Drosophila melanogaster: one gene and its partners. The protein of the gene in region 1 purifies or fractionates together with the protein of each later gene. This does not show direct contact. Each region holds a gene or a part of one and is shown in the gene's direction. Other genes may lie near its edges. The genes, in order: HIPP1, CG10265, Ibf1 and Ibf2.

Region 1 (10,032 bases):
TGTGCAAGCTGTGAGTACCGAATACACTTGGAATTTTGAATCATTTTTTAACATTTACTATTTCTACAACAGAAGAACAGAAGAGAAGGACATAGCCATGCCCCCGGAATCCTTCTTTACGAGACTCAAACGTTTGCTAACCGAACAGCAGCCCAACTGGATCTTCGACTACCAGCGTAAAGTGTCCCAGCAAATGATATTTTACAACCGACAGCTGACCACGATCCGAATCGTGGTGAACTACCAAATCGAAGACTTAGTAGAGGAGTCCACCATTAGCGTGTGTTCCATTCAACTAGACAATGACGTGCCCACTCCCAAGGACCAATGGTCATCGCGTGAACACTTTTTAAACTTCCACCTAAGTCTCCGCCTGCCGATGAATCCTAGCGACGAGATCGAGGGCAGTGATGAGACGGCTTTCTTGAAATTTCTCAACGGCATTGATCGCAGAATTGCAGAAGTCAAGCAAAAGTTACACAAAGTTTTAGATCTTCTAGCGCAGAAGAGAGCGAGGCTAACAAGGTATAAGCTTCTCCAAGGTGTATCTCAATACATTACTAATTTAAGTGATCCCTTTTTAGAGAAGCAAATCGAACTATTGTCAGAAAGATAGTGCGAAAGTGCATCGACCAGGAACCCATCGTGCGTCTCGAGAAGATCACTTTCCTTATTGAAATCGGTAATATTGAGGACGTTTCCTTCACGGACATCCTACGCCCCGAACTGCATCTCTTCAATGAAAACATTCAGTATCTGCCCAAGGGAATTCCTTTCCTCGAAGCCTTTCTCACCGATCCCGAGCAGTACCTTAGAAAATAAATGCGTATGTTAGACTACCTTTTAAATTGTTTTAAATTAAAATAAATGCATTCGTCTGCGTTTTTTAACGAATTCACATTGAAAGTGTATGCGAATGGGCAAGGATTTCCACTGAAATCGAGCTTATTTATAAGAGCAACCATTACTATAAGTCCTTTGAACGAAATAAAACAAATAAAGAGCAAGGAAGGATTTTGTTTGAATTTAAGTTTACTCGCTTCTCGTACTCGTTTACAATAATTAAAATAATAATAAAACTTAAAAGTAATTTAGTTTCCTCTTGCGTGGCTGCTGAAAATTCGTTTCGTTCATCCGGATCACTTGGAAGCTGGAACTAGTTGAGTGCGTGTTTGCTTGCATTTGCTTTCTTTATGTTTATTTCACGAAGACAACACAGACATATTAAGATCCAAAATATATATACGTTATATATATATATATATATATATATATATGTATGTTTTGTGTTTAAGGTTTGTGTTTTGAGTGGTTCCGTGGCCTTCTGCCCGCTTGCTTCTCAGCCACATGGAGATGGATGCGTGTGAGTATGTGTGGTGTTCTTAGTTTTGTGTGAGTGTGTGTGACGTCATTCGAGGGTGGAAAGTGGAGGAGTGTGTGACCTCCGGCTTAGACGCGAGACAACTGCTGCAGCAGATTGCACGGCCAGAACGCCTCGATACGCTCCTTGAGCAGCTGAAATGGATACGATATCCAGGTAAGTACGGTCTGTGCCAAATGACCCATGGGCTCCGGATACTGGTGGGTGGCCAAGGCCAGCAGGGCGGTAATGGAGCACAGTCCCGCCGTGAACAGGATGAAGAAGGGCAGCTCCTTCTTAGGATAAACAGACACCTCGTGGAACGCCGGCAGCAGTTCGCGATCCGCGCACTCTGTGCATGTTGGATATGGATAGAAGAGGTGGCCACGCTCCAGCGGATACGGCAGCATGCGAAACGTGCCCTCCCAGGTGCAGTGCAGCAGGTTCAGGGCGCCCTCCACCTGCTTCCAGTGCTTCAGATGGAAGAACGCGTAGGCCAACGCCTCCGAATCGCCGCGCTTCAAAATGTGCTCTGGCGGTAGAATAAGTCGCTTTGTCTCAAGCAGATACTTGGGCACATGCGGATTGAACTCCACCGCCCGATGAATGGCCTCAACGGCGCTCATTTCAGCTTGACTTAGACCTCGCTTGGATGCTATGTCTGGCGAAAACTTGTCGGCTACGGCGCGCGCCTTCAGCAGAGCAGCTGTATAGCAGATAGTCGCCGATTTCGGCAGCGAGATGTCATCGTACTTGGCCAGAATGGCATGGCAATCGGCGTAGGCCTGCATCTCCAGCAGCGTTTCGATTAGATTCTCGTGAATGTTCAGTACGCTCATGATCGAGGGTATCTCCTTGGTGAGATCGCGAAACATTTTAGCCGCCTCCTTCAGCTTGCCCAGCTTGCGGGCGCACATGGCAAGCCGTCGCTTGATATAGATCAGCACATTGGTGTCGCGCCGATGCATGCCATCCGCAATGGCGCCCTGGTGTTGGGTGGCCTGCGACTTGCGGTAGTTGATCTCGGCGACCTTTAGGGCCGTCTTCAGGATCTTCTCCGCCTCCATAATGGTCATGGCTTCCTCCTCGGCCAGCAGTATATAGGCAGGTGCACATTCCGCATTGATTTCCAGAGCACTGTGAGCGGACTTGATGCGCTGCATGGGATTGCGTTCGCGCCAGGCCGTCTGCATGATCTCATACTCCTCCTTGCGGGCATCGCCTTCGCAGGTAAAAAATGTTTGATGGTCCTGGGCACTTAAGTTCATGTCGTAGTAGGTCAACGGCTCCTTGCTGGTGGCCCAAAAGAATCTCTGGTACTCGGCGCCGCGAAATAGATTAAGTGGATTTCGCCAGACCTTACACTCGGGCATTTGGGTGCCCGTACTTGTGGTGGCGCTGCCACTGCCTGATGCCCCTGCTCCACCCGATCCTCCTCCGCCTGCTCCGCCATTGCTGCTGCTGCTGGAGCCACTGCTGCTGCTGCTGCCACTGCCATTGCTGGACTCTGATTGGCCATCGCTGCCATTTATCCAGGGGCTAATGTGGTTGATAGAGACTTGCTCTGCGAAACAGGGACAGTGAAACAGAATAAGAAGGAAGCGGAGGAAGGGGAACCCCACTACTCACCTATAAACGAAGTGCCATACTTCCGGAAATACCACCACTCAAAGATCAGGATCAGGCCCGAGATCAGGCTGGAGGTCCCTGTGAGCGCCACGTAGAACTTAGGCGTCAGAGTGCTGAGAAACATGGACGAATCCCACATCCTGCTGCCTGCTGCCCCCTGCCTGCGAAGTTCTGTATTCGACGCTCGTTTCGCTTTGGCCCCAGCTCCGTCCGGATTTTGCCGCTCTCCGGGATTAGCTTGTGCCTGGGGGTTCGCGGATACTCTGTGCTCTGGCACTGACCACCGCCGAGGGGTTAGATCAATTAACGGTTGCCTTTCTTGGCGCTATCCTTGCGCGTATCCTTGCTGCTGATGAGACTTTTTTCAATCAAGTATTCGAAAGGGGATGAGCGGGGGGTAAATACCAGCGCAACGTGACCGTTTCTCGTCGCCTTCTAAATGCCGCTGAACGTACTGGTCACTCTGAAAAGTTCTTGCGGGAAGACCTTTCAACTTCTTTCAGAAATATTCCACGCATGTATCTAAAGTCTATTGCATGGCCAAGAGATATACACATTTCCCACTGTTATCTATTATTACTTATATTTGTTTTAATAGTTTGGTTCTTATTTGTGCTCAACATATTTCGACAGTTATTTCTTACGATCACGCTAAGAACTTACTCTAATAGCAAATAATAACAAAACCGGTCATACATATTAAAATATATAAGCGAACTACCTGATATCTATTTAATGCTAATTGTTGTTTAAATTTAATGAAAAATGTAATTCTCGAACCATCCACTTTTTCCGATATTTTCACGCCTATCGATAGATCCACCTGCGCACCACTACAAAAAATGGCCGCTGAGCTGCAAGTGCACTTTTTTTTATAATAGACCAATCCGATTGAAACAAGCACGCAAAGCCCTTAATTTGGAACTCCTGTTGAACGGAAAGCCATCAGTGGGGCAGTGGAATCATGGAGCAGGTGTCGGATAGTGCGGTGACAACTCTGGAGTCAACCCAAGCAGAGGAGCCACCACCAGGAGTCGAAAAAGTTGAGACTCTAGAACTAAAAACGGCGGCGTTAGAAACACTCTCGGAAAGTGCGGGTCCCACTGATTTGGAGAATGAGCTGGCCAATCTCAACGGATCTGAAGAGGGTCCAGGCTTGGACGAGCTGAGCACTCTGGAGAGGGAGATAGCTAAGCTGCATAACATTCGACCGCCGGATGCGGCGTCCGAAGTTAAGGATTCCGACACACCAATTGCCTTAGCAGACAATGGTGGCTTAGAGCCCCGCCAGGCCCCAGATGAAGCTAAATGTCGAACCCCAATAATCGAAGAAGGCAACGCTGCCTCAGGCAACGGCCAGTCCAGCGAATCCCCCTTGGAAGAGGTAGATCTCATTGCCCTGCTCAAGGGGACGGATACCAGTCATGATCAGCCTACGGGAGAGGAAAAGTGCACATTGGAGAAGGCTCTCTCCGAGCTTGACGGCGTTGGAGAAGATGGGGATGTAGGTGTTACCATCGAGGGCGAAGGGCAGTTCGAAATCATGGAAATTGACGACGACGAGGGGGAGTCATCGAGTCGAAAAGCCAGCCCCAAGGTACCTGCGTCCAAGCCCATCAAATCTAACTCCTTGCCTTCTATATCCAAGCATAAGCTCTCCCCGGAACAAGCCAGAGCTGTTGCTCTGGAGCAGATGGCCGGTCTAAAGCCAAAGTCGCGTCGTAAGGAGCCGCCTGCGCCGCCTTCTGTGGTCGCGCCGATAGATATTGTCAGCTCGTTGAACGATGATTGGGACGACTACGACTCTGAGGAAGACAAGTCGGCTTCCGCGTTGGTGACAGAAGTTATAACTCTGCCTTCAGCACACGTAGTCACTAAGAAGCCACCTCTGCCTGTGAAAAAATTGTCATCCCCAGTTAAGCACAGCCCGAACTCGGCAATTTTGCTAAACAACAAGATCAGCGGAGTAAAAGTAATGTTAAAGACCGTGAGCCAAAAGCAACTTGCAGCCTCAACAGGGGCAGCAGCGGAAAAAACCAAGCCGACTGTCGTTGTGTCACCTCCCAAGGAAACCGAAGAGCATACTACGGGTACAGTAAAGTTGGAATTCATTAAATCATTGCTTACAAACTGAATTTTTAGGGTTCAAGCGTATGCGTGTAATTAAAAGGAAGATAATCTGGGACCCCGATGTACCAGAGACGAAAAAATCGTTTGCGCAGTATGCTAGCACGAAGGCGGCATGTCCAGCACCCACCACACCAAAAACAACTGTCAAAAGCATTTCGCCCACCACGACGACTAAGAAGGAGGTGGCACCCAAAAAACGGTCAGCTACACCTACTGCTCGGTCTACTAAAGCTGGCACTCCGGTCGGAGGAACAGAGCGGGGTCCCTCGCCCGTCAAACGACGCGCGCAAACTCCGAACACAGGTCTAGCCAATGGAGGAACTCAAAAAAAGAAAAAGGTCTCTGAGATCGATCGCCTGATGGGCGACGAGGGAGCTGCCAATATGATTCATGCAGTGGAGCATGAGCAGCGGGAATTGAGTGGTGGTGAGGTGTCCAATAAGCCGCTGATGCGGAAACGAGCGATGACCATAACCGGAAGGGTAAGTACTTCTACTATAGAAATCCGAGATACCTATTATCGATTATCGAATATTTATGATTTTCCAATACAAGAACCAGGCAGCACGAGTTGCTGTGGAACCAACACCGCCCAAAAAAGAGTCAGCACAATCGGCCGCCAAACGAACGCCTGCTGATTCTGTTTTTACTAAGGCCACCGCCAACACATCTGCCCGTAAGCCTCGCGCTTCCGACTCGTGGGACTATGTTTACAAACAGCGCGCCAGCGAGGAATCGATGATCATGCGTCGGCGCTCCAACAGCTCGTACTCCAGCAACGCTTCCGTAAGTCGAAATTCGCTGGACAATAGGCCCGGAGCAGCCAATCTGTCTGATGATGCAGGCGAGGGCTCGGACCCGTCATTTAAGTTTGTAAAGCCCGTAAGCAAGTCGAGCCAAAGGGGCGGTGAAGATACCTCCTCGCATACGCTGGCTAACGATATGAAGGCGAACAACGGTAGCGAACTGGTGTGCCTGCACAAGGTTAACAAAGTTGCTCACCTGGTCATCCACACGGAACGAGGAAACTTCGGCCATACGTACAGCAAGCAGCTGCTGGAGCAGTTGAACGACACACTGTCCAGTGTTGCCCGCAAAGGCGAATTCAACACGGTGTTGCTTACCGTCGAGGGTCCACAGTTTTGTCAGGGCATCGATTGCCAGGAACTGATACAGGGTTCCCTGGAGAAGCGAAAGGATAGTGCCAGTCAACTGGCTGTAGCCCTTAAGTAAGTAATTCAAATGTATCTTTGAGAAAAGGCTTATTAACGAAACCGTTACATTTTAGATGCTATCTACGCACTCTGGCCACATTTCCTAAACCCTTGGTGGCTGGCATTGTTGGCAGCCAGATTAATTTGGGCGTTATGCAGCTTCCCTTTGCTGACTACGTGGTGGCCTCTGATGATTGTAGCTTCGAGACTAACTATGCCAAATTGGGTCAGCTGCCCGAGGGCTATGCTCTGTGGCATGGTCACCAAAGAGTTTCCAGTGAAGTGGTAAATATTCAGTCTTTTATAAAGCTTATCTACAGCTCATCCCATGTATCGTTCAGCACTCGCGTTTGTTTCTTATGGGTGAAAGACTGTTCGCAACGGAACTTTTGGAATCGAATAGTTTCGTTGACAAGATCTGCAAGGCCAGAAATGTCAACGAAATGGCTCTGGCCAAAGCCAAACAGATATCCACTAGCTCTGCGGAGGTAAAGCGTAACATCTAGTGTTATTATTAGTTAACTTATATTGAAAATCCCACAGATGTATCGTACACTAAAGAAACTCAACCACTCCGCCGTCAATGTCACGAAATTCCCGCGTCTGGATGAGGAACTAAAGGTTATAGGAGAGCAATGGGTTACTGCCGATTGCTTAGCCAATTTCAAACGCTATCTTAACGACGTTGATTTTTAGAGCATTGATTTATAGTTACTGTATACCATTTGGGAATGGTAGACATTCATCCATACAAACCATATAAAGATTAATTCATACATTTAGTTGAGTCCTTTTAGGAGTTTTATTCTGGACCATGAGACTATCGCCCTAAGAATTTTTTTACTCCTACCCCATTGTAAAGTACGAACGCTGTGTAAATTGTAAGAAATTCGGAGGCAGGAGTTATATCCTGTTCTATTAGGATTTTAAAGGTAACTCGATTAGTTGAACGTGCTGGGATTGGAAAGTTTGCAAATTAAATTATCGCTTACACGTTTTAAATTCGAAATTTTATTTTCCGTCATCCGAAATTCCCAAATAGTTCACTTTTCAATCAAACAATGGAGTTTAAGATCCCATGCAATATATCTTGTGTTATATGAAAAAAATGTTAAGCCTCATAATAAATAAAATAAGATGAACAGCTCCCATAAACGGAACTTATCAATTGAAATCTATTTGTCGACTAATTTATTATGGGAGGCTAGAAAAGGTTTTTAATGTACAATGTAATGCACGCAACTAGTTTAAACTACTATTTATGATCGACAGCACGCTTCTGCTGGCTAAATGCTCTATAACTCAACTCAGTTCCTGATCGCCATCTGAATGCCCATCTAGTTGTTCTTGTGGTCCTCGAAGTAGGAAGGTAGCTCTGCTTGGAGGCGCAACAAACGGACGTAGGTCAGCAGTTTCCATTCGCTCAGCGGCTGATCCTCGGGATGCACGAAGGTGGACATGTATGTGACTAGCTCCTGAGATCCGTCCTGGTCGAGATCTGCGACAAGCATCGAGTGGTCCTGGTTGTTCAGATCCGGTTGGCACACCACCTCCTTGCGGTCGTGACGGCAAAACTGGACGATGTTGCTTCGCGAGGTGTTCTCAATGTGGGTATCGGCCCCCACGAAAACCACTAGCAGCACGGTTTCTGTAATCATGTTCATTTTGTAGCTTCCGCCGGGAGAGATTCCACTCGATTTGGTCAGGTTCATAGTTGAAGATGGCAGTCCGAATGATTCCCTCTTCTGCTTCACATGCTCGAAGAAATCGAACTCCTGGTGAGCCGGTTGAAACTCTTGATCTTTCGCCTCCGTGCTTCTTCTTAGACGTTGGTGCTGCTGTTGTTTCTTTGCCTGAGCCTGAGACTTTTCTTTATCCTTGATGGCATTCATGTTCTTGGTGTGATTGTTGCTGCCACTCTTCTGCACATTGTTGCTGTTACTGCTGGCGGAAGTCTGTTTGGAAGGCTTAGCCAAGCCATGCCACTTCCAGAACTTCATCACAAAGCCGGACATTTGCGACTTGGTATTCTTGAAGTGCCATTCGGCGGGCTTCATCCCGTACATTCTGCTCGTGATGAAGTTTTCCACCACATGGGGTTTGCCATCGCGGACTTCACTGAGAACAAAGGTAACATTGCAATCCTCCGGACAGCGTCCTCGGTTCTCCACCACGAGTTCCCGTCCACTTAAAGAATATATGTTCCTCTGGGCATCCAGTTCCCGCCGCTGGCCATGGTTCCTATGCTGGGAGATCTTTGAGGTGCCTAGTCGTTGGCTTACAATAGATTTGTTGGTGATCAGGGCATACAGCTCGGCCAGACTCTTGGAACGCTGCTGCTCTGTGTCATTGACTCGCTGACAGGTGAAGCTCACGTTGCCCGCCTCGAGCTTCAAGTTGCTGAGAGTGTCGCAGTCGTGAATGGTGAAGCCATCACCAATAGGTGCTCCTCTTCTGCCCGACAGCATGCGCAGCACATTGCGAGCCTCTAGTTTTTCCGGAGATTCATGTTTGAGCTGGGCAAGCGATTTAGTGCGCTGTACCAGTGACAAACTAGTCACGAGCAGGAGGTCCAGCACTCCATCTGCATCCAGATCAGGCAGGATAACTGGGAAGTCATAGGCATCAACTTTTCGGGCTGATCGCTCCTTATGCCACCAGATCCATTCACCAGAGACGGGATGAATGGCTCCAAGTTCGCCATACTCATCCAGTACCAAGCAAGCTGGTTTCCCATTGCCATCTATGTCTATGAGGGTGCAGTCCAGGGCCACAGGCTCATCAACCATCTCCACAAACCAAGCCACAGCTCCCGAGGAGCCAATCAAACAGATGATGCCATTACGCCGCTCGTTACCTGGTCGGAATTCCGGGAAAAAGGCATCCCCGCGGTACATAAATATCAGGTTGTTCTCCCAGGCTCTTAGACCACCGACCACATTGATTCCTCCCTTAAGTTCCGCCTTTGTGTAATTATTGAACCAGTTGTGGGTCTTTATCCGGTCTCCGACGGCTGGACAGGATCCAGTGCCATCAGGATTACCGCAGGGCACCAGCCATACAAAGGATACGACGGCGAGGAAGCACAGGAGCAGGCTGCCTATGAAACAGCATTTCCTTGCCGGTGACATGGGGGTTCTTTTGGACAAATCCTCGCCGGTCTGATTATGGTCCCCCAAGATGGCTACATTGTCTGCATTCGCATCGAAATCACTGTTGAAGTGGGACAACTCCGATCCCACTCCACCATTATCGCTCAACATGACGGAACGGAAAGTATTCTGCATATTGGTAGCGTAGCTACTGCCCTCCAGTTGGAATTTCTGGGTACTCCCGGAAGGTTTTCGAGTCACAATCCTGGTGGCCGTGGGAGATGCTCTCGTATGTGGTGATTTCAGGGCTAGAGTGTTCGGCGGGATGCGTATCCTTTGGGCTTGGAGCTGCTCCGGCGGACTGGGCTGATGAGCTTGCTTAAGTTTCTGTTGCAATTTTTGTCGATGATTGGCGGCGTTGTGGATCTCAATTTCCTCGTCGGATTCAGAATCGCTCATTGCCTGACTTAGTGGAGCATAGATGCCCTGGTGGCCAGCGGGGGGCAATAATTCGGAGTGCAGCATTTTAGCTGTCAAAAACAGAGAACAAGTCCGGAAAAATCAATACCAACCGGACAAAACCAATGGTAAATAGTCCGAAAAAGAG
Region 2 (7,416 bases), on another chromosome or scaffold:
CGGTGAGACAGTTGCAACTTGCAACTTGCAGCTTCCAGGTTGCTAGTCACCAGTCACCAGTTACAATTACCAGTTACCAGTTGAAAGCCCAACAATGCCCCCACATATATTACTGGCAAACTTGGTCCGTCGCTTGGGAAAAGTTGGCCTAGAACACACAACCGTGTTTGTCATTGTAAATGTGGCCATTAGTTGTATTACGCAGCAGAATTTGTGGCGTTCTTAATTTTTAACCCGCACCAACTAAAGTCAATGAAAATATTAATATTCTAAAGATATTAATAAATAATTTTAATCTTAATGCTCCATCTAAGGTAAAACAACTAACTTTTGTTCTCAACAGATAATAATGCATAGTGTTATCCCATTTTAGGCATGATTTTTTTCCGTTTTGTAATTATTATTTATTGTATATACCAATAAAGTAATTCACAGCTTGCTAATTGAAAAGAGTAGGTTTATTTTATACAAGCCAATGGAATGAATAATTCCGACCATGAAATTAAATGGCAGTAAAGCCAAGACGATTTGATAATGCCCACAAATGTGAAACCAAAAGGACGGCACTGTGTGTTGCAATCAATGTTTTTGTGCACTACTTTCAGATGAAAAATGACATTTTCTTGATGCTTGGCTTAAGTGACAGTACAAGTGTCGGGCGAAGGTGCTTGGAAAATGCCTGGAAAAGCCACTTGTCCGAACTTACTTAACACATGGCGACACAACTCACACATGCACACACTCTCGCACACAAATACACATACTGTGACACACTATATACATATATGTAGTTGTGCAGCTGCGGAAAGTATGCAACATTTTTGTACGAAAACGTGGTCGCACGGCCAAGATGTTGAAAATAGTGCCAGCGAAAAGTGGGGAAGAGAACTGTGATGGGGTGGCCTTAGTTAATTCGCAGTCCACAACAATGCAACAGCAACAACACCAACATCAACAACAACAGCAACAACAACATCTGTGGCAATTGTAGCGCCAGCTTTTCTATTGTATTATGACAGCAGCTGCACCTGCAAGTATGCAGTGATTGTGATTCTTTGCTTTCATTTTTTTTGCTAGTTCACTCGGCTGCGAAACCCCTTGAAAAACAGTAAACAAAGAGCAGGACAATAGTGGACGGGTGGTGGGTGGTGGGCGGCTGGGCGGACAGATGGGTAGGTGGTAATGCCCTGCCATGGCATGTGTTCATTGTCCAAGAGCAGTTCATGCCTGGTTACGCATCCCTATGTGTGTGTGTGTGCCAGTGAGTGTGTGTGTGTGTGGTGGGGTGCAGGACAGGTCGGGGGGCAGTTGGCATATCAACTGGTCGGACATGGTGTAAACACGTTTAATGTTGTTGCCATTGTCGTTGCCGTTGCCATTGCCATCGCATGGCTGCAGTTGCTCCTCCTGGCAAGCTGGCTGGCTGGCGAGCCCTCGGAGTCACGGAGCCATGCAGCCATGGAGCCATGGAGCCACCTAGCCACGGAGCTCGTCCTCTTCTGGCGCCGTCTCCTTTGCCACGTTTAATTTAATCTACTGGCCAAAGCTGCAGCCGCTACCTTGACATGGTCTGCACTTCAATCTGCATGCACGGCGTACAGTGGTGCCTGGCTATATCCAAACTGTTAGCAGCCAACAAGCTAGTTTCGAATTGTGTCTAATTTGTGTAGAAGCATCACAGCACAGTCAGGCGTTTTAAGGGAAGCTAATATCTTCTATTTAGGATCAGTACAATAAACAATACAAATAATAACAGTTATATACTTTAAGCGGTATCCACTGTAGTTTGCGTCCTGGCTGCTCGAGTGCACCGCAGGTCCATTTAACTTAGCTTTGGCAGTGGCAGTTAGTAGTAGTAGTAGTAGTGGCAGTGGCAGCGGCAATGGGGTTCCAGCTAGCTGGCCACCTTCTCCGCTTCCTCGACTTGGTGCATCACTCAAATGCCGGGGAGCCCCGCAGGCCCCCAAACGAGGCGACAGGAATGCGTGTGTGTAGCAGAGCGTGTGCAAGTATGAGTGTGGGCAACGTAATTTGCATGGTCAGCTTGCAGTTTTGGGACACACAGAGTGGCAAGTTGTGCCTCGCTCTCGTCCCTGGCTTAATTGCATGCAGGAATAGCAACTGCAGGAGCAGCCTCATCAGCATCGGCAACTTCATCCAATTGCCGCTGGAGCTGCGACCCACAGATCCATACAATTTCCGGGCTGTAAGCGATGCGGCTCTTTAAAGTTCACTTATTAAGTTGCAAGAATAGCAGGAAAATTCAACCAAAAGTGGGCCAGTTTGAAAAATATCAAGAATATGCCAACGATACTCACCTACGCTCTGCCGGGTGATTATGCTGCACGTGGTTCGACATGGTCCGTGCTCGTTATGCGGAACATTACAACAACAAAAAAAAAAAATTTAATATATATGTAGGTACGCAAAAAGTGCTGGATTTCCTTTTCATTTGTTTTCCACACACACTAGACAGACATTCGAGTTGAAGTCAAAATCAGACAATGTTCCCTCCATATGGCTCCATATCACATTGGTCGAAAAAATGGCAAGCTTACAAATGGCGCAGTCCCCGGCTGCATAAACGATGTCATTTTTTGGATTGCCCAATTTTTTTTTAGGTAGCTTGCGAATCATTTGCAAGCGATTTAATTTCAATTGCATGGGCGTTAATCAAAGGAAACAAAAGCCAACACGGGAAAAAGAACAAAGAAAACGCTAGTCCACTTATTCGACAATGTAAAAGAAAGCAGAGAGTTACTATTAATGCAGCAAAAAATGAGCAGGAGCAGTTCAAATAAAATCTTTCCAGTAATTTTCGATTCATGGACCAAAAACCGTAAACAAAAAAATCGTTCTATTTTACATAGTGAAAGTATGTTTTCATCTATTTTTTATCAATCTGAGCAAAACTACATATAAACATAAATTATTTATATAATATTTATATTAAATTATTCCAAACATTTTATTATACCATTTATATATCGTCATCCTTATCAAATCTTATATCTAAATGTTTTTTTTTTTAATGTGTAATGTGTTTTTCCTATTTGGTTTTTTGTGTGCTTTGAATTTAGGCGCGCAACAAAATGAATAGCAACTGTTTGGTATTTTTATGTCAGATTTTGTACCAACTAAAAATCGTTGACATCTACTACGTTTCAACGTCTGGCCACTCTGCACGAATGCAAAAACAAACTGAAATAATTTTTTAATACCATTTTTCTTCTTGGCGCGAATTGGCTACAAAAAAAATGAATGGATCGCGTAAAATAAAGTCCATGAAGACGATTCGCCTTGGCGACGTTCTATACGACGACCAAAAACGACTTCTAACGCTGTGCCGCAGCTGCGAATGCCACTTTATGACGCTCCAATCGTTCCAACGCCACCTAGCCGATTGCCCCGGAGTAAAATACATAGTAACGCCGATCGAACCGCTGGCATTTGATGATGCCAATCGGGAAACGAGACTGGTGAATGGCAGACAGGAGGTAGGCAGCTAAGGGAGCTCCATGATCCGGCGTTGCCCTGAAAACTTCCTGAGAATCCTTTTGATTGAACTCACTTCTTGCAGATTCACATCTACGACCTGGAGGCGGTTAAGAAGAACACCAACACGGCCATCGATTGGGAGGCAGAGCTGGAGGATCCACGCTGGTACACCAATCCCAAGCCCACCGTGCAGACCATACCAAAGACAAATTCCAAGGAAAATATAGTAAAGGAGGATGTAGTGCCGCTCGCCAAGGAGCCTCAGGAACCGGAAGGGGTGCCTGCGAAACGTCCGCGTAGCCCTCCCACCACCCGACGTACCATTCTGACCTCCCAGCAGCAGCGCAGATCCCGTGCCTGCTTGACTTCCCCTCAACCGCCAGCAGTAAAGATGAAAAAGGCCATCATTCTGGTGCCCACTGTGCTGGAAGATCTGAAGCGATTGCAGGACACGGAGAAAAAGGAAAGGATTCCAGAGGCACCACCAGCTCCTGTACATCCTGTAAGGTCATTGCAATCTCGTGCTACCGGGACAACGCAGTCAACATCTCAATTGGTACCCATGAAATTTTCTCCTGCATCGAAGCTTATTATACCAGTCTCTTCAAGGATATCTGAAGTACCAGAACCTCCCAAGACGCCCGAGAAACCAGTTCCTACCATAACAAGCAAATCAACTCCTCCATTGGATGGCACCCAGAAAATCCTAAACAAACTCAGAGCATGCGGTGTGGAGGTGAAGCGAGCAAGTACCCAATTGAATGCCACGACTGAGCTAAATCCAACCAAAAATCAAGAGACCTTGGACATCATGAGAAAACTGCAATCCAAGGGCATCAGATGCACCAAAGTAAGAAAATCGTAGTTGTATTCGCCGTAGTGTAAGGATGGTGCCATTAAATGTGCCTCTGGAGGCGAGGATTTAGCAATATAACTTTATTTAATTTAAATGGAGATTAATAAATTCCCGGATAGCGTTTATAACTTTAATAGCAAGCGAGTCTCTTTATTATCAAATCGCTTAATTTTAAATGTTTTATTTTGGTTTTTTTGCTCAAGCAGTGTGACCTTTTGATGCGACAACGTTATCGATTTAATATATCGACTATACACTAGTGGTGGCTATTTAGCTTATAAATGTATTGAACTATATTAAATAATTAAAACTATATATCACTCAAACAATGCCGTTTAAATACTTTGAAGACGGTAATCACATGTTCCATACAAAATGTTAACAGTCCTAGCTTTTTTTATGTTGTCCATTTATGTAGCTGAAAAGTTGGCATCACTGTGTAAGAAGAAGAAGCAGCTTGTTGATTTTTGGTGCCGCACGCGTTTCGGTCGAAAGTAATTGGAAATATTTGTGCTTGCGCCCGGCGTTATATATATTTTGTAGTACTCGAAACACTGCCGAATCCAAATCCAAAATTCGCGTGTGCACACCCACCTGCCGAGGCGGTACCAATTAAAAGGTAGGTCAGCTGACGACGATGGCAGCCAATTCGGGCTTACATAATTTGGGGACAGAATATTTATTTTGCCACCTTAGATTTGGCATTCAATGCAGTGAAAATGACATCATTTTGAAATTTTTAGAACCGCTTGTGTTTTGTTTGGTGAATTTTATAATATTTGCAATATTTCGGCTGCAGTTGCATCATTGACAGCGAACCTTAAGTTTAGTTCTCTGTAAAGGTCACCAAGCCCAGACTTAAAAAACAGATGTTTTTTAACAATCTTGGTACGTCCCACTACTAAAGCACTTATAATTTAATATACATTTAATCCGCCAGTAAAACACCTATAAATTTGAATTAGAATTCAATTTTATTCTCATTTCAAGTTTCAATATTATTTCTATTTCAAATACTTGTAGTTCATTTCCTTACTTAACTCTCGGGCACCGAACAAAACTGCATTGCATTTTCCTTTTAATAATCCACTACATTTAGCTTTGAGAGTTTCAGGCTTAATTATCTAATTGAATTCGTTACATTTCGACACTTGTTTTTATTCAGAGTTTCATTTTCGTGGTATTTTTAGGCTAAACTACTTAGTGCATGTGCCCATTTGAATTAAATTAGTGAGTCTACCTGGGTTTATTAGTTTAGGGTTTTAACATTAACTTAAAGCTGCTTATTGTTTGCATATCATTCAATCCTTTTCTTTTTAGCTCTCTCGAATCACAAAACATTTACATAGTTAAAGTATTAACAGTGAGAAACATATACGGAGACAATAGATTAGAATGTAATCAACATTTATACGAAAATAGTTGGTGTTTATATCCTGTGGGTGTAGAGACTTATCGATAGTGGTGCACATTTAAATGCGGCGTTCAACGTTTTACAATTACTTTTCATTATTCATTTAATATAAACAAATCTGATATGGGGCTGGCTGAAGAAGTCTCCTCTGGCCCCCTAGTTGCTCACTATTCCAGAGAGCGCCTACGCAGCGTCTTGCGCACTCCGCCGAAAGCAGCACTGCTGCGATCCAGGAGCTCGTTGGACAACCTGGCCAACAGGGGCAACTCCCGCATGGAAACGTTTACGGAGGGCAAGGGCGCCAGTTGCTGTTGCAGCTTCTTAATGGGCGTGGGCGGTGCAAGGTGATTCAGCTGGTGATGGGGTGTGACTGGCAAGCTGGCTGTGGTGGCGCAAGAGGTGACCTTCACCTCGACCACATCGCAGTGGCGTTTCAAGGCCTCGGCGCCCAATGAATCGGGTCGCTGTTCGGTGGACTTCAAGCGGTTCGTTTGCTGCCTTTTGGCTGTTTCTTTCAGCATCATCAAGTGATCCAGCTTGTCCACCGTGGCCTTCAGTTCATGCTCCCACACATCGTTCTGCTGCTGTCCATCTCCGCCCTCGATGGGACGCACCGCCAGGATCTTGACCTTCTGTCGCAGCGCCTCCAAATCGCGTTCATCCACTACACCTCTGAGCTCCCCGGCTCCCGTTTCATCGTAGTCGCAGGCATCTTCCTCATCTTCAGTTTCGGCAGCTGCTTGGGGAGTTTTTGCGCCCAAAGACATCTGGCTGCCCGCTATGGAGGGATAGTCGCACTTCTCAAGCTCCAGCTGGAAATCGGGCAGTGATGGCAAGGCACTGGAAGTCGGAGAGTTTAACTCTGCTCCCACACCCGGCTCGCGGGGTCCTGGTGGAGTGGGAAAATCTCCCCTCTGCCTATGTATATCCTCACTGATCCTCTCCAGATTGCGTAAGGCCGTGGAGTAGGTGCTCTTAGCACCGGCCACCTGCTGCTGCAGCTCCTGAATGCGGTTTTTTTGTGTCTGCAGCTGATCCTGACACACCTGCTTCTCTTCGAAGTACGGGCGTGACTTGTTGATGCTACGACGAAAACGATCCTCAAGCTGTTGCAGCTTTTGCTCGGCGGCGTTAAAAAGTTTGGTGAGCCTCTGGTGCTCAGCATGACAGTCGGCTTTCTGCGTTTCGGCATCCATCACCTTCTGGGTAGCATGGTTAAGCATCTCCTGCCAGGCATTGTCGAACTGCCATTCGTGCGAGTTGGACATAAAACGCTGCTCAGCAAGCGCCACCGTCTCCTTGGCTGCGGCATGGATTTCTAAAGCAAAAATTAAGACTTCTTAACTCTTTTTTTTTCAATATTTATTTTTTTTCTACTAACCATTAGCTCGCTGGAACTTAACCGCTGCTTTTTGGCATTCGATTTGTGCCTCGCGTGCCTTGTCCAATGCCTCGTAGTAGGGTCTAGCCTTCTCTATGCAGTTGCCCAACTTTTTGGAGGAAACTTTAAGGCGGCGTGTAGATTCATTTAACAGGATGCGAAAGGTGGAATTAGCCTCCTAAGCGAAATATGAAGGAATTTTATTAGGCTTTTATATCATTAATTAAATGACTATGGCACTTGCCTCTAGCTCGATTTCTAGCTTAT
Region 3 (7,815 bases), on another chromosome or scaffold:
ACTTATCCGTAAATTAAATTAAATTACCAATTTTTTTTAATTTCTTGTCTTTAAAAACTTTTTTTCCACTTTTTATCAACATTTAAGCTTTCAAAAACATAAAAACATAAAATTAACAAGGTTTGTGTTTAAATCTGAGACCACCAGTCTTTTCTAAACTGCTCTTGCGAACACTACAACCATCAGAGATTCAAGATTCAGTTCTCTACAACTCTAAGCGAATCAAAATTTCTTAAAATTATTGTTGGAAACGAGGTATTTATGAACAAGGAAACAATCGAAGAAGCCCATAATCGTATAAAACTATAATTATAAGGTTAGATAATTGCAATTTAAAAACTTCCTGGATAGATATTCTTTCTTGGAATATATGAAAGTAAATTTTAGTGATAAATTTCACATTAAGAAATTATTCTCTTTAATTCGAATAAAAAATTTGTGACTCATATTCCAGATAAAATGACTGGATTCTTAAGACTATTGGTCGTATTTTGTGCTGTTTCAAAACTGAGCGCCCAAAGGTTAAATGCTTCTGAAGAAGAGAAAAATGCGAGAACAAACCTTTTTAAAGTTTTTAGTGAATAGATCAAATGCCGATGTCCTGAATCCACGCTCGCCTATGAATGAAAGTCAAAAAAGTGTGGACGCTCTCCAAATTGCTCCAAATTGCTCCAAATTGCCAGTGTGTGCCTTATAACCAATGTTATCCGCCGTCGGATGGTATTTTGGATACTCAAAATATCCACTGTCCAGATATATTGGCACTATGTTGTCCCTACAATCGATTACGAACAACGACTTTAAGTCCGAGCCCAAAGCCAAAAACGAGGCTGTGGAATTCTCAATGTCGGTGGTTTAAACGATATCCCAGCTGGCATTTAGTATAAATCCGAATTTGGCGAATTTCCCTGGACAGTGGCTGTAATGAAGACCGGTAACTATTCCTTTGCAGGCACACTTATTCATCCGCGGGTGGTTATGACTGTCACCTACCGGGTTGAAAATTGTGAAAACTACACAGTTCGTGCTGGGATATTGGACTTAAAATAAAATTTTGAGCTTCTACAGTCTCAAGAGATAAGGGTGCAAAGAATTATAAAGCATCCCAAATGCTGTAACGCGGCACTCTTAATCCTCGAGCAATCATTCGAACTGAACGATCATATTAATGTGATATGTCTACCTGACCAAGAAGCTGCTCCACCACCCACCTCATTGTGCTATGCCAATGGATGGGGAGAGAATGCATTCGGTAACTCGGGCCAATACACAACCATAATGAAACGGATGCCACTGCGCATTGTGGATACTGGCAAGTGTCGCGATCACTTGCTATCAATATTTGGAGCTTTTAACTAAGCACATCCATACTATGCGCTGCAGGCCAGCCAGGCGTAGAAATAGCCTACGACGATGTTGGTGGACCGCTGGCCTGTCCCCTTGGAAATCCCTCGGAAAATCGTTACCAGCTTAGTGGCATTGTGGTGTTCAGATTCTTCAAGGGACCAACCCGCATGACCAACGTATCATCGATTCGAAATTGGATTGACCAGGAAATGACTGCCAATGGTTATGATAAGTCTTACTATATCGCCTGATTAGGCCAATTAGAAAAATATTATAACTGTTTAAAAAAATAAAAACAAAACATATGTTCTTTTTGTAGAGAAAATAATAAAAAAAAATAATAAGTTATAATTATACAAATGATATATAATTTCAGTTTAATTATTAAAGAGGGTGCCACTGATTCTGTATTTCCTTTTCCTCTAATACTTGTGAAAATAAAATGAATTTTTTCATGTTCGTCAACAACATAAAACTAAAATGTTTTCTTTTTAAAAATAAGTATTGTGACGAAGTCATTTCTACTAACATTTTCACATCTGTTAAAAGTTATCTAAAAAATTCTGTTAAATCGATAGTTGCCGAGTGTTATCGGATTTGGCCGGCTTTTCTGTTTACGTTTTGGATGCTACATAATTTAAAAGAGATTTTCGAAAACAAAATGACTTGCGATGATACCACCGAAGCGCTCGCCACTCACATGTGTGAGCTGTTGGAGTTTTATATGCTGCCGGAGCTGAAGGAGGACCTGGACAACATTCAGCTGGAGACGTCGCAATTCGACAGCTACCATTCCCTACTTATCCAGGATCTGCCAAAGCTCTACGATTTGGTGCAGGAATTCCTCCTGAAAAGTGGTGATGCAGGACACGAAGAGGTTGTGCTTTGCAAACACTCAATTCCACGACTACAATCTAGTTAACTTTCAGCTAAGATTCAAGCTCCTCCTGCTGATTTGCGAATTGACAGCTTCGCCTACAATTTACCAACTAAAGGACGACTCTGGTAATCTCCTGAAGTATGCTAATGATTTGGCTAGTAAGCTGTCTTCCCATTGGTGGGAGTCGACGGATGATCAATTCCTGAAATACTACGAGAAGAAACTGCACAGGGATTGCTGGAAGAGACAACTAGGAGCTGTGCATGGTTTCGGCAGATATCTAGAGGTATACACTAACAGACAAATATTTATCCAGATAGTCCAGTTTGTTCACTTACTTTATCCCGCAGCTTCGTTACGGAAAGAAATCCGCAATGTCCACCCAAATGTTGGCTTTTGCACTATCCGTGGGTCTTAATGTGCGCGAATGCTATGATACTATCTACAAGCAACTTGGGGTCAAGATCTTCTCAGTGATGTTAAAATTTAGCGTACGTGTTAGACCACTTTAGCGCCAAGACCTTCAATGAAACACTTCATCCTTCAGGACTCCAAGGACATTCAGGAACTGAACGTGCACAGTGTGATCTATGACCATGCCCTCAAGGATGTCTACAACATGGACTCAATTGAAGCCATCGAATCTGTTTGGAACTGCCTGTATTTCTGTCTTGATCACTTTGTAGATCTAGATGCTTTCACGGTGTGTACCTTGAAACTTACTCTAGTTACTGAACATAAATATGATGGCAACTTTAGTGGAACCAATGCGACGACATGCTGGAACGCCTCATTCAGAACGTGACAATGGCCTCCAGCCCAAAAGTTTTAATCTGCCTGCTGCAGTATATCATCCGATTAGGATACTACTTCACCATCAATCGCAGCGATGTGAAAACTGCTTTGGCCATGGATATATGCGAACCAGATAAATTGGTAGCGTGTCGGGACGTATGCCTTGCTCTAAATGTTAGCACCAGCTATCGTTGGGCCAAGGCCATCCTACAAATGCTTGTCCTGGAGTCGAGCAAGCTGCTCCAAGGTGTCGAGGTATGCACTGCTTTACTGGATCAACTGCTAAGATGCTATCTGGTTTGCATCATGCCTATTCCTCTGCAAGCTTTGCATCCGCACCTGCCGGAGTTTTACGGGAAGTTTGTGGCTGTGTTAATGGAATGTTTGGTGGCCCACGAGAAGGCACCTCCAGTTCTAAAAGTATGTTATTATGTCTATATATATTTCTGGTTACATCTAACAGATCAATTTTTTCCCAGCTCGTTTCGCGGTTCATCGAAGTCTTTAGCTTCCAACTGGAAAACGGGATAACCGAAACAATGCCCGCCCAACTATCAGAATTCAAGGAGGCTCTGTCAATTGTGCACCACAAGATTTGTGAATAAATATGGGGGTCTTTATGTTATATAGCGATCTAGTAAGAAGCGATATACAAACGTTGCCAAAACAGTATGTGGGATAAGGGCCATTAGTGCCGGTTTCCATCCAAAAAAGAAGCCCTTGTAGCCATGTTTTCGGATAATTTTCCGATACAGATATGGATAGGAAGTGCGGCCATAGTGTGAGGATTCGTTTAACGTTAGAGTAGCCAACGCATCCACTGGTGTCATAATGACTGTGATAATACTGCCTGTTAGCGCCATAGTTATGAGATCGCTAAGCCACGGCTCGTCGAGTCTGTGGAACCATGATATCACTGTATGGACCTTATCACTAATAGGAGTATACAGCACGGCCACGGCTGTGCTACTAATCGAGTTTATTTTCCAACCGGTAAATAGGTAAGTAAATCCTCCCTTCGCGTACATACATTTGAGTCCTCTCCAGAAATTTCGATAGCTACAAAAAAGGGTTAACTTTCATAGCTTTGGAAGATTAAACGATACACATATAGATATTTGCTGGTTTCAAAATTAAACCGGAAAATGCCTATTTATGTTTATTCGGCCATATTCTTACTTGCGCCTCTCGTAGGATCCGCGCGTAAGATCAGCTTGCCGAATGACCGCCAGCTTGGCGAACGGTGTTGCCAATACGCCGCCCCAAAATCCGGTTATACCCAGGACCATGCTAGTGTTATACGGCTGCAGCATTAGGACGTACTTGTTATCCTGTAAGTTGTAGAACAACGTGTACGTTGACATCGTGTGAACAGTACAGCGTAGACAAGCAGCCACAATGCCGTAATAAAATCCGGGTAATCCATGACGGGCCATCAGCCGGAACATATGGTTTATGCTTAAACGGCTATGGTGGATTACGTTCGCCTGCATATTCACACGAACTAGCTCCATGGGATGCGACAACAGTTGGGCCGTAGTCTTAATCAGCAGGCCGACGTAGACGGGCATCTTTATAAATTGTTCAATCGAACTCCCCGCATCACTATTATTCATTATCTAAATAAATTTGTATATTCTCAAGAAATTTAAAATGTAGTGTACTTAAAAAGCTTAGGCTACTCGCATTCAGCACGCAGTTTGGCGATCTCCAGCTGTGTCTTTTTCGCCTCCAACAAGGTGACGGTGCGTTTCAGTTCGGATATCTCGTTCATCTTGGTAAAGTACTCGGATTTGACCACCAGATACTCCGTTTCCGCCTTGATCAGATCCTTCTGCAGTCGATTGGCGTCGGATGACGGGATCACCAGTTGATCCAGATCGGTCAAGTAGCTCACCAAGTTGGATTCCTGATTGCGTGCACTGCTATCATCCTCGTCGATCAGTTTGTCCAGTAGAATATTCGAAGTGAAGTCAATTGTGGAGCCGGAAGAGCTCTGTTCTGCCGGAGCGGCGTCCGTAGCCTCCACCTTAATACCGAATTCAGCGGTTAGATCCTCCCGGAACTTGAGACATGACTTCCTGTATCCACATACATACATTTTACGGACTGTACTTGCAAATGAGCGGGAAAAATTATAATACATACCTATGGATAATCAGCCTGTCTATGCTGGTGTTTGATTGGCATTTCCGACAGTGGGTGCACAGCGCTCGGTACTTCTTCGGCTCCCCATCCTTGCCGCCCTTGAACGCGGGTAGAAAGCCCAGTTTCTTCCAAGTTTCATCCTTCGAAAGGCCCGAGGGTCGCTTGGCCTTTTTTGCTTGCGACATTTTTACATACGGTTTGTGTTAAATTACGTGACAGTGTTGCTGCTGTAAATTCAACCGATGTATCGATAACATGCCATCGAATTCTATCGATGGTCGCTTGCATTTGAATATTAATTATATTTTTACTTTTGAATCATCTGTGAAATGACTGAATTGTAAAAAATGACTTTGTCTGGGTCATAAATAACAAATTTTTGAAAAGAATAAGTTTAATATTTAGCTTTGTATATTTAACGATTAATTAATCGGGCAGTAAATAGTACCATGAATGTATCTGAAAATATATGCGTGGAACCTTTAAAAAATAGACTATATTGAAGGGCGTTCATATATTACAAATACATATAAGTAAAATTAAGAAGCAAATCCTTTTAAAAGTTTACTACTTCACCCGTTATATACATATAAAATTATTTCTGATCTTTATTAAATATCGTTTTGACTAAAAGAAACGCATCGAACTGATCAATATCAAAATGGTTTTATCGATATGTCGATACATGTCTATCGTATGCAAGCGTGGATTTTACATGCATCTGTAGTGAAGCCATTTTTATTTGCATCGTGTATAGTACATTGGAATTTACTGCGATTGTTGTATTTTAAAATGCCCCGAAAGAAGTCCGAGGATTTTTACAGAACCCACGGATTTACCGCCAATTTGGAGAATGGCAAATACTCGGCCACCTGTCACTTCTGCGAAAAAGTACTCCAAAATACGGCGCTATCCCGGCTATCGTTACACAGGTAACCATACAAACATACACCAAACATTGTGTTTACATGCGTCAAGTAATTCTCATTAAATTGTAGGCAAACCTGCGATGCCCGGCGAAGTAGAAGCGCTGTAGTGTACACTTCTGCCGACGAGAAGGATCATGACGAGGCTCCTAGGATAAAGGTAATTCGATGCTTCCAATTTGGATACATTGGATGTATGTATATGTCTGGTGTAGGACGTCAGTGGACAAATGCACTTCAAAATAAATCCCAAAGATACTTTGCACACTATAATGTCAACCCCAAGTAATTTGACAAATATTCGGTTCGAACTTTGTCCGAATACAATATATAGTGCTTAATGATTTGACTTTTGAAATTACTAACCCATATCGTCTCATATGAACATTCATATGTAAATTAAATGTTACTTATATATCGCTAATGCTCTAAAATATATTTTTTATGCAGATCCAGAAGATTTCGGGCGACGATGATGGCGGCCTGGATAATGCCAACGAAGGCAAGGAGATCATTGTTAAGGTGAGTAGGTGAAAAATGCGTAAACTAAATCAAATACTTACATTATGGTTATTTTTCATTCCAGATACAACAAATTCTGGACGATGCTGACGAGGCTGAGGCGCCCAAGGAGCAACCCAGAGTGAAACGAGAAATTCGCAAAAGGAAACTGACCAAAACGGAAGAGTCTGGCGAGCAAAATTTGGAATTTGAAATTTCCAACGTTGAAATTAAAAATCCCGAATACTCTGAGTACCTGGACGAAAGCAAAGAAGTAAATATTCACAATTTGATAAGTATCTTAGACATTTTAACGATTATCGAACAGCATTACATATTGCAGCAAAACCCGGATGACTTAGCCAATGGATCGGCGACGATCATCGAGGCCAGGCCAAGAAATGGTTTAGCTGCATTGCGAGCGGAAAAGGCGCGAGCCGAGATCAGTCAGTTCCAGAGTAAGACCAAGTTTCTTAAAACGGAAACGGACAATCTAAAAGTAGAGCGCACACTGACTTTGCTTAAGATTCAGAAGCTTCGATTGGAAATCGACGCCCTACGCGATTAAAATGTATTTTAACTATAGATAACTTTTAAATGTCCGCATGGTGAACCCTTAATTTTTGTTAAGATGACGAAAATGTCTGTCTTGAATTCAACATAGATTTATTACATTTAACTTTGTAAAGGTGATTACAAAATACATTATTTTAAGCCTGATTACTCGAATCTTTTTATTAAATAATAATGTAATAATGCAATGCTTACAAGTGTTATTAAAATCGATGTAATCTAATGCTTACATACATAAATATTACATACATCAAAATTATTGAATAAATAAAAATACATAATAAATAAAACTAGAAATACTAGTACAATCGATAGTTCGCACTCTTCGACAACCCTACTGATACCCATTCGATAACTGACCCCAAGCAACCCTGTTCATCACATGATAGTCAGGGTGATATCGGGGAAGAGAAAAGGTTTTCTTTGCAGTCGTTCGTCATATGATTAAAAGTCCAGCGGAAAACTGAAAATGTTGAGAGTTTTCGTGATTTTCTCGCTGTTTATAGCGGCCAGTAAGTAGATCTACCATCTATAATCAAGTAAAATGCATGCGCAGCAAGTGGAAAGCGGTCACAAAGTGGATATTCTGTACTCATCGATTCCTCTTTGGGGGTGGTGACACCCAGAACTCGGGACTCCAAAGGG
Region 4 (7,070 bases), on another chromosome or scaffold:
AAATACACTCTTTCATATGGGCTGAGTTCCAGTGTGGGTGTTTGTACATAGCGACGATCAAAAAGAAAAACTCAAACTGAAGTTGTGGCGACGATCGTCGATCGCTGATCCCAGAGAGGGATCCGACATAAGTCGGACGCAACTCCAGCCTGCCACACGCGCCTCGATCACCATTCGCAGCCGTCGGAGTCGGATCGATCGGACAATAGCGAGGAAATTAAGCCGCTTTGTTTGCACAGCGATTGGATGGGACAAAAGGACCCTCGACGACAAGTTGGTCCCCTATAGATCACCTGTTGACACACGTACAAAGCGGTGGCCTCTTAAACTAGACGAGATGTGGCCCTCATCAACCCCGGATGAGTAGTCACGTCTCGAATCGATGGATCGATGGTGAGCCATTCATCACGATCGCCAGAGTCGTCTCTAATGCAACTAAAAGTAAGCAAAACAAAAAGGTACAAGCTAAAAAAAAAAAAACCAACCGAGTCCAGGTAAACCTGCTGCAGTCCGGCCAGAACTCTTGATCGGTCATTCGAAAAGCGGCTTAAGCGATGACGGATCAACTGCTGAGCTCCACGGCCGGCGTACCGGGTGATCCACCGCCAGTTTTGGTGCCCGTATCAGCCACCACCGGTGGACCCTATTTGAGCGGTGGATCCGAGGGCGAGGCGGAATCATCGGAACAGCCCGTTCTTCTAGAGCTCGGTGCCCCTCAATCGTCCAGTTGTCCGGCAGTTAGTCTCAACTACACCCTAACCGCGGATGGAGCAGGCTTGCTGGCATATGCGCCAACTCATCCGCATAGCTACTCACCCAGCGTGATGGGTGGCTACGAGAAGGAAGCGCACAATATGGGTCTGTTGCCACCCACATATAGCGTTATACCTCAGCCGGTGTCGATGTGGCATGCTGGCCAGGTGGCCACCGGTTCGCCAGTGGGCTTGGAATGCAACAAACCCAGTGAGCTGGTACCTCCGCCCATGTATATGAGCTATAGCGGCGGTAGTATAGCCAATAGCACTGAGGTGGACATCGCCAAAGAGCACAATCCCGCCTGGCGGGAGAAGGCGCTGCAAATGGAGAAGGACTATAGACGCACCGCCTGCGATCGGGAAAGAACCAGGATGCGGGACATGAACCGAGCCTTTGACTTACTGCGCTCCAAGCTACCCATATCCAAGCCAAATGGGAAAAAGTACTCCAAAATCGAGAGTTTGAGGTAAGTGAAAGTATCTGCGGTAGAGCTCTGTAATATATTTATATGATCTTTGCCTACCCAGGATTGCCATCAACTACATTAATCACCTGCAGGCCATGCTGCGGGAGAGCTCCGTGGGTCAAAATGGCAATGGATGCTGTGCCTGGAGCGGCGGAAGTAGTTCACCTTATGATAATGGCAACGATCATTGGGGAGCGTAACTTGAATTAACGAATATCAAAGGGAATTCATTTAAATATTCAATTTAAAACTTGTGTTATATTATATCCGCAATTTGCCAAAGTCATTCCATGAACCTATAAAAGTTAAGGTCCATACTTTACGATTTTGAGAAGAAAAAAATTGAAATAGCTTTCATTTTATATTAGTTTATCATGTTAACCTTTTTATAAGTGCAATAATTAAATAAATTATCAAGAATACCACGTATGATTTCAATTATCATTTGCCCCAAAAACTAGATAACAAAACCAGGCGCAACTTTGTCTTTTTAGGCTATATATATTTAACTTTACTTTTCAACACTTCACATTTTGATAATTTACATATGATGAATCGTTTGAAGAACTGACTGACTTGGCGAGTATGTTGTGCATATTCGTATATATATATAAACCTAAAAAGTACAACAAAACAGGAAAATGTAACAAATTTCTATGGAATTGTTGCGACGCCCGCAACTGCATTGAAAACTGAAAAGTTTTTTAATACTTATTTATAGATAATAAAACCAACTACTGCGACAGCTGTCCGCACACACACAAACACACAATTTATCCGCTGTTGGATTGAAGTAGAAGTTGGCAAATTTCAACTTAAAAGGGGGACGAAATAACAAAGCGTAACGCAAGCTCCTCTCGCTCCTCCTGCTCCTCTCGCTTCTCAACTCCTCCTGCTCCTCCTTAGTTGTCCTTCTTGATGCGGGTAGAGGTCATGCGGTAAATGATGGAGTCCCTGCCGGGATCCATGGCAGCGATGGCGTAGCAGATAGCCAGCAGAGACAGTCCGAAGACGACCATGAACCACAGGATGATGTTGAAGATCACCGGGTAGTCGCTGCCGTAGTAGACGGCCAGGTTGTAGGGATTGGTGGTGGAAGCGGCAATGGTATCACGCTTGGCACGCGATGCTGCCACGTCCTTCTCCGTGGTCTGGACAAACAGAACCGAGTCGCTGGACTTCTGGGAGGCAGCAAGCAGGCGGCTGATAGCGGCCGACAGCAATTTGTTGGCCTCCTCCACGGCCACGGACTTCTCGCCATGAGCCTTGGCCACTCCATCGACGGAAACGCGCAGCATCAGGACATTCGAGGGCTTGGCCATCTCAGCCAGATGATCGGCGGCACTGTTGATGAATCCAACCTCCTGGAGGAACTGCTTGTCAGCGGTGTGCAGAGAGGGGTTCAGGTGCTTGGTGGGCTTGGCGGCTGGGGCCTCGAAATCACCAAAGCAGGACTTCCAGGCTTGAACCTATAAAAAATATGTGGTTAAATATACATTGGTCTCTACGTTATATGCGTAAGGGGGAAGGCACTATGATTCACTCTATAAATCATGTGATTAATTAATTTTTAAGGTTTAATAACTATCTATCATATTTGTGGGAAGTTATAGCGGATTGTAGAGAAGCTTCTTTAAACGAACTTTCAGATGAAGATCATGCTTTCTGCGGTTTGACAAATTAGCTAACTGACTAACGAAATGTGCTTTTCCCCTTTAAGACACCACTTACGCCATCGTCGAACTGCTCAAAGTTAATATCGCAGACGGGCTCGTTGGCTGCCTCCAGTTCGGCGGCCAGGGCGTTCAGAGAGGCGTCCGTTCCGGAGCCTGTCAGCTCGTAGGTCTTGACGTTGCCGGCGGTGGTCACGTGACCAATGCCCTGGACATGCACCAGAATGACGCCCTTGGCCAGGTTGAAGGGATCGTTGATGGTCAGTCCGTTCCAGTTGGTATCGCCGCTGACGGCGTTGCCCATGGAAGCGTAGAGTACATCACCCACGTAGTGGCTTTCCAGTGCATCGTTGCCCTTGAAACTGATTGCCTTGGGACGGTTCAGCACGGTGAATTCGCCAGAGGCATTGACTGCAAAATAGGAAGACGTAGCTCATAAGTTCTGTAGAATCTAACATATTCGTCTCCTTTGTCCAAGATTCTGCGCATGCATGTGGGGAGCCCTTTGGAGTCCCGAGTTCTGGGTGTCACCACCCCCAAAGAGGAATCGATGAGTACAGAATATCCACTTTGTGACCGCTTTCCACTTGCTGCGCATGCATTTTACTTGATTATAGATGGTAGATCTACTTACTGGCCGCTATAAACAGCGAGAAAATCACGAAAACTCTCAACATTTTCAGTTTTCCGCTGGACTTTTAATCATATGACGAACGACTGCAAAGAAAACCTTTTCTCTTCCCCGATATCACCCTGACTATCATGTGATGAACAGGGTTGCTTGGGGTCAGTTATCGAATGGGTATCAGTAGGGTTGTCGAAGAGTGCGAACTATCGATTGTACTAGTATTTCTAGTTTTATTTATTATGTATTTTTATTTATTCAATAATTTTGATGTATGTAATATTTATGTATGTAAGCATTAGATTACATCGATTTTAATAACACTTGTAAGCATTGCATTATTACATTATTATTTAATAAAAAGATTCGAGTAATCAGGCTTAAAATAATGTATTTTGTAATCACCTTTACAAAGTTAAATGTAATAAATCTATGTTGAATTCAAGACAGACATTTTCGTCATCTTAACAAAAATTAAGGGTTCACCATGCGGACATTTAAAAGTTATCTATAGTTAAAATACATTTTAATCGCGTAGGGCGTCGATTTCCAATCGAAGCTTCTGAATCTTAAGCAAAGTCAGTGTGCGCTCTACTTTTAGATTGTCCGTTTCCGTTTTAAGAAACTTGGTCTTACTCTGGAACTGACTGATCTCGGCTCGCGCCTTTTCCGCTCGCAATGCAGCTAAACCATTTCTTGGCCTGGCCTCGATGATCGTCGCCGATCCATTGGCTAAGTCATCCGGGTTTTGCTGCAATATGTAATGCTGTTCGATAATCGTTAAAATGTCTAAGATACTTATCAAATTGTGAATATTTACTTCTTTGCTTTCGTCCAGGTACTCAGAGTATTCGGGATTTTTAATTTCAACGTTGGAAATTTCAAATTCCAAATTTTGCTCGCCAGACTCTTCCGTTTTGGTCAGTTTCCTTTTGCGAATTTCTCGTTTCACTCTGGGTTGCTCCTTGGGCGCCTCAGCCTCGTCAGCATCGTCCAGAATTTGTTGTATCTGGAATGAAAAATAACCATAATGTAAGTATTTGATTTAGTTTACGCATTTTTCACCTACTCACCTTAACAATGATCTCCTTGCCTTCGTTGGCATTATCCAGGCCGCCATCATCGTCGCCCGAAATCTTCTGGATCTGCATAAAAAATATATTTTAGAGCATTAGCGATATATAAGTAACATTTAATTTACATATGAATGTTCATATGAGACGATATGGGTTAGTAATTTCAAAAGTCAAATCATTAAGCACTATATATTGTATTCGGACAAAGTTCGAACCGAATATTTGTCAAATTACTTGGGGTTGACATTATAGTGTGCAAAGTATCTTTGGGATTTATTTTGAAGTGCATTTGTCCACTGACGTCCTACACCAGACATATACATACATCCAATGTATCCAAATTGGAAGCATCGAATTACCTTTATCCTAGGAGCCTCGTCATGATCCTTCTCGTCGGCAGAAGTGTACACTACAGCGCTTCTACTTCGCCGGGCATCGCAGGTTTGCCTACAATTTAATGAGAATTACTTGACGCATGTAAACACAATGTTTGGTGTATGTTTGTATGGTTACCTGTGTAACGATAGCCGGGATAGCGCCGTATTTTGGAGTACTTTTTCGCAGAAGTGACAGGTGGCCGAGTATTTGCCATTCTCCAAATTGGCGGTAAATCCGTGGGTTCTGTAAAAATCCTCGGACTTCTTTCGGGGCATTTTAAAATACAACAATCGCAGTAAATTCCAATGTACTATACACGATGCAAATAAAAATGGCTTCACTACAGATGCATGTAAAATCCACGCTTGCATACGATAGACATGTATCGACATATCGATAAAACCATTTTGATATTGATCAGTTCGATGCGTTTCTTTTAGTCAAAACGATATTTAATAAAGATCAGAAATAATTTTATATGTATATAACGGGTGAAGTAGTAAACTTTTAAAAGGATTTGCTTCTTAATTTTACTTATATGTATTTGTAATATATGAACGCCCTTCAATATAGTCTATTTTTTAAAGGTTCCACGCATATATTTTCAGATACATTCATGGTACTATTTACTGCCCGATTAATTAATCGTTAAATATACAAAGCTAAATATTAAACTTATTCTTTTCAAAAATTTGTTATTTATGACCCAGACAAAGTCATTTTTTACAATTCAGTCATTTCACAGATGATTCAAAAGTAAAAATATAATTAATATTCAAATGCAAGCGACCATCGATAGAATTCGATGGCATGTTATCGATACATCGGTTGAATTTACAGCAGCAACACTGTCACGTAATTTAACACAAACCGTATGTAAAAATGTCGCAAGCAAAAAAGGCCAAGCGACCCTCGGGCCTTTCGAAGGATGAAACTTGGAAGAAACTGGGCTTTCTACCCGCGTTCAAGGGCGGCAAGGATGGGGAGCCGAAGAAGTACCGAGCGCTGTGCACCCACTGTCGGAAATGCCAATCAAACACCAGCATAGACAGGCTGATTATCCATAGGTATGTATTATAATTTTTCCCGCTCATTTGCAAGTACAGTCCGTAAAATGTATGTATGTGGATACAGGAAGTCATGTCTCAAGTTCCGGGAGGATCTAACCGCTGAATTCGGTATTAAGGTGGAGGCTACGGACGCCGCTCCGGCAGAACAGAGCTCTTCCGGCTCCACAATTGACTTCACTTCGAATATTCTACTGGACAAACTGATCGACGAGGATGATAGCAGTGCACGCAATCAGGAATCCAACTTGGTGAGCTACTTGACCGATCTGGATCAACTGGTGATCCCGTCATCCGACGCCAATCGACTGCAGAAGGATCTGATCAAGGCGGAAACGGAGTATCTGGTGGTCAAATCCGAGTACTTTACCAAGATGAACGAGATATCCGAACTGAAACGCACCGTCACCTTGTTGGAGGCGAAAAAGACACAGCTGGAGATCGCCAAACTGCGTGCTGAATGCGAGTAGCCTAAGCTTTTTAAGTACACTACATTTTAAATTTCTTGAGAATATACAAATTTATTTAGATAATGAATAATAGTGATGCGGGGAGTTCGATTGAACAATTTATAAAGATGCCCGTCTACGTCGGCCTGCTGATTAAGACTACGGCCCAACTGTTGTCGCATCCCATGGAGCTAGTTCGTGTGAATATGCAGGCGAACGTAATCCACCATAGCCGTTTAAGCATAAACCATATGTTCCGGCTGATGGCCCGTCATGGATTACCCGGATTTTATTACGGCATTGTGGCTGCTTGTCTACGCTGTACTGTTCACACGATGTCAACGTACACGTTGTTCTACAACTTACAGGATAACAAGTACGTCCTAATGCTGCAGCCGTATAACACTAGCATGGTCCTGGGTATAACCGGATTTTGGGGCGGCGTATTGGCAACACCGTTCGCCAAGCTGGCGGTCATTCGGCAAGCTGATCTTACGCGCGGATCCTACGAGAGGCGCAAGTAAGAATATGGCCGAATAAACATAAATAGGCATTTTCCGGTTTAATTTTGAAACCAGCA

Evidence for each region.
Region 2: the proteins of HIPP1 (region 1) and CG10265 purify together in Drosophila melanogaster (affinity purification with mass spectrometry, with the first as the bait; one large-scale study listed by BioGRID). This does not show direct contact.
Region 3: the proteins of HIPP1 (region 1) and Ibf1 purify together in Drosophila melanogaster (affinity purification with mass spectrometry, with the first as the bait; one large-scale study listed by BioGRID). This does not show direct contact.
Region 4: the proteins of HIPP1 (region 1) and Ibf2 purify together in Drosophila melanogaster (affinity purification with mass spectrometry, with the first as the bait; one large-scale study listed by BioGRID). This does not show direct contact.

Annotation. Positions count from the first base shown.
Region 1 is NT_037436.4:20,805,850-20,815,881, forward strand, and holds HIPP1 (HP1 and insulator partner protein 1), read left to right. Parts: upstream 1-3,819; 5' UTR 3,820-3,953; coding exon 3,954-5,079; intron 5,080-5,131; coding exon 5,132-5,601; intron 5,602-5,674; coding exon 5,675-6,348; intron 6,349-6,407; coding exon 6,408-6,618; intron 6,619-6,674; coding exon 6,675-6,821; intron 6,822-6,876; coding exon 6,877-7,029; 3' UTR 7,030-7,483; downstream 7,484-10,032. Other genes in the region: Spc105R (Spc105-related), read left to right, coding at 1-10, 73-525, 585-822; CG3634 (uncharacterized protein), read right to left, coding at 1,450-2,924, 2,990-3,128; CG3618 (uncharacterized protein), read right to left, coding at 7,671-9,950.
Region 2 is NT_033778.4:14,989,593-14,997,008, reverse strand, and holds CG10265 (uncharacterized protein), read left to right. Parts: upstream 1-3,173; 5' UTR 3,174-3,257; coding exon 3,258-3,497; intron 3,498-3,580; coding exon 3,581-4,363; 3' UTR 4,364-4,486; downstream 4,487-7,416. Other genes in the region: pcs (parcas), read right to left, coding at 5,936-7,086, 7,150-7,327, 7,394-7,416.
Region 3 is NT_033777.3:9,253,086-9,260,900, forward strand, and holds Ibf1 (insulator binding factor 1), read left to right. Parts: upstream 1-5,878; 5' UTR 5,879-5,962; coding exon 5,963-6,102; intron 6,103-6,168; coding exon 6,169-6,256; intron 6,257-6,546; coding exon 6,547-6,618; intron 6,619-6,682; coding exon 6,683-6,871; intron 6,872-6,925; coding exon 6,926-7,165; 3' UTR 7,166-7,315; downstream 7,316-7,815. Other genes in the region: CG16734 (uncharacterized protein), read left to right, coding at 2,009-2,224, 2,277-2,513, 2,578-2,718, 2,775-2,930, 2,987-3,442, 3,502-3,627; CG16736 (uncharacterized protein), read right to left, coding at 3,640-4,081, 4,202-4,593; Ibf2 (insulator binding factor 2), read right to left, coding at 4,701-5,103, 5,171-5,355; ATP6AP2 (ATPase H+ transporting accessory protein 2), read left to right, coding at 7,640-7,682.
Region 4 is NT_033777.3:9,257,227-9,264,296, reverse strand, and holds Ibf2 (insulator binding factor 2), read left to right. Parts: upstream 1-5,795; 5' UTR 5,796-5,856; coding exon 5,857-6,041; intron 6,042-6,108; coding exon 6,109-6,511; 3' UTR 6,512-6,570; downstream 6,571-7,070. Other genes in the region: sage (salivary gland-expressed bHLH), read left to right, coding at 555-1,222, 1,284-1,422; ATP6AP2 (ATPase H+ transporting accessory protein 2), read right to left, coding at 2,125-2,691, 2,954-3,306, 3,530-3,572; Ibf1 (insulator binding factor 1), read right to left, coding at 4,047-4,286, 4,341-4,529, 4,594-4,665, 4,956-5,043, 5,110-5,249; CG16736 (uncharacterized protein), read left to right, coding at 6,619-7,010.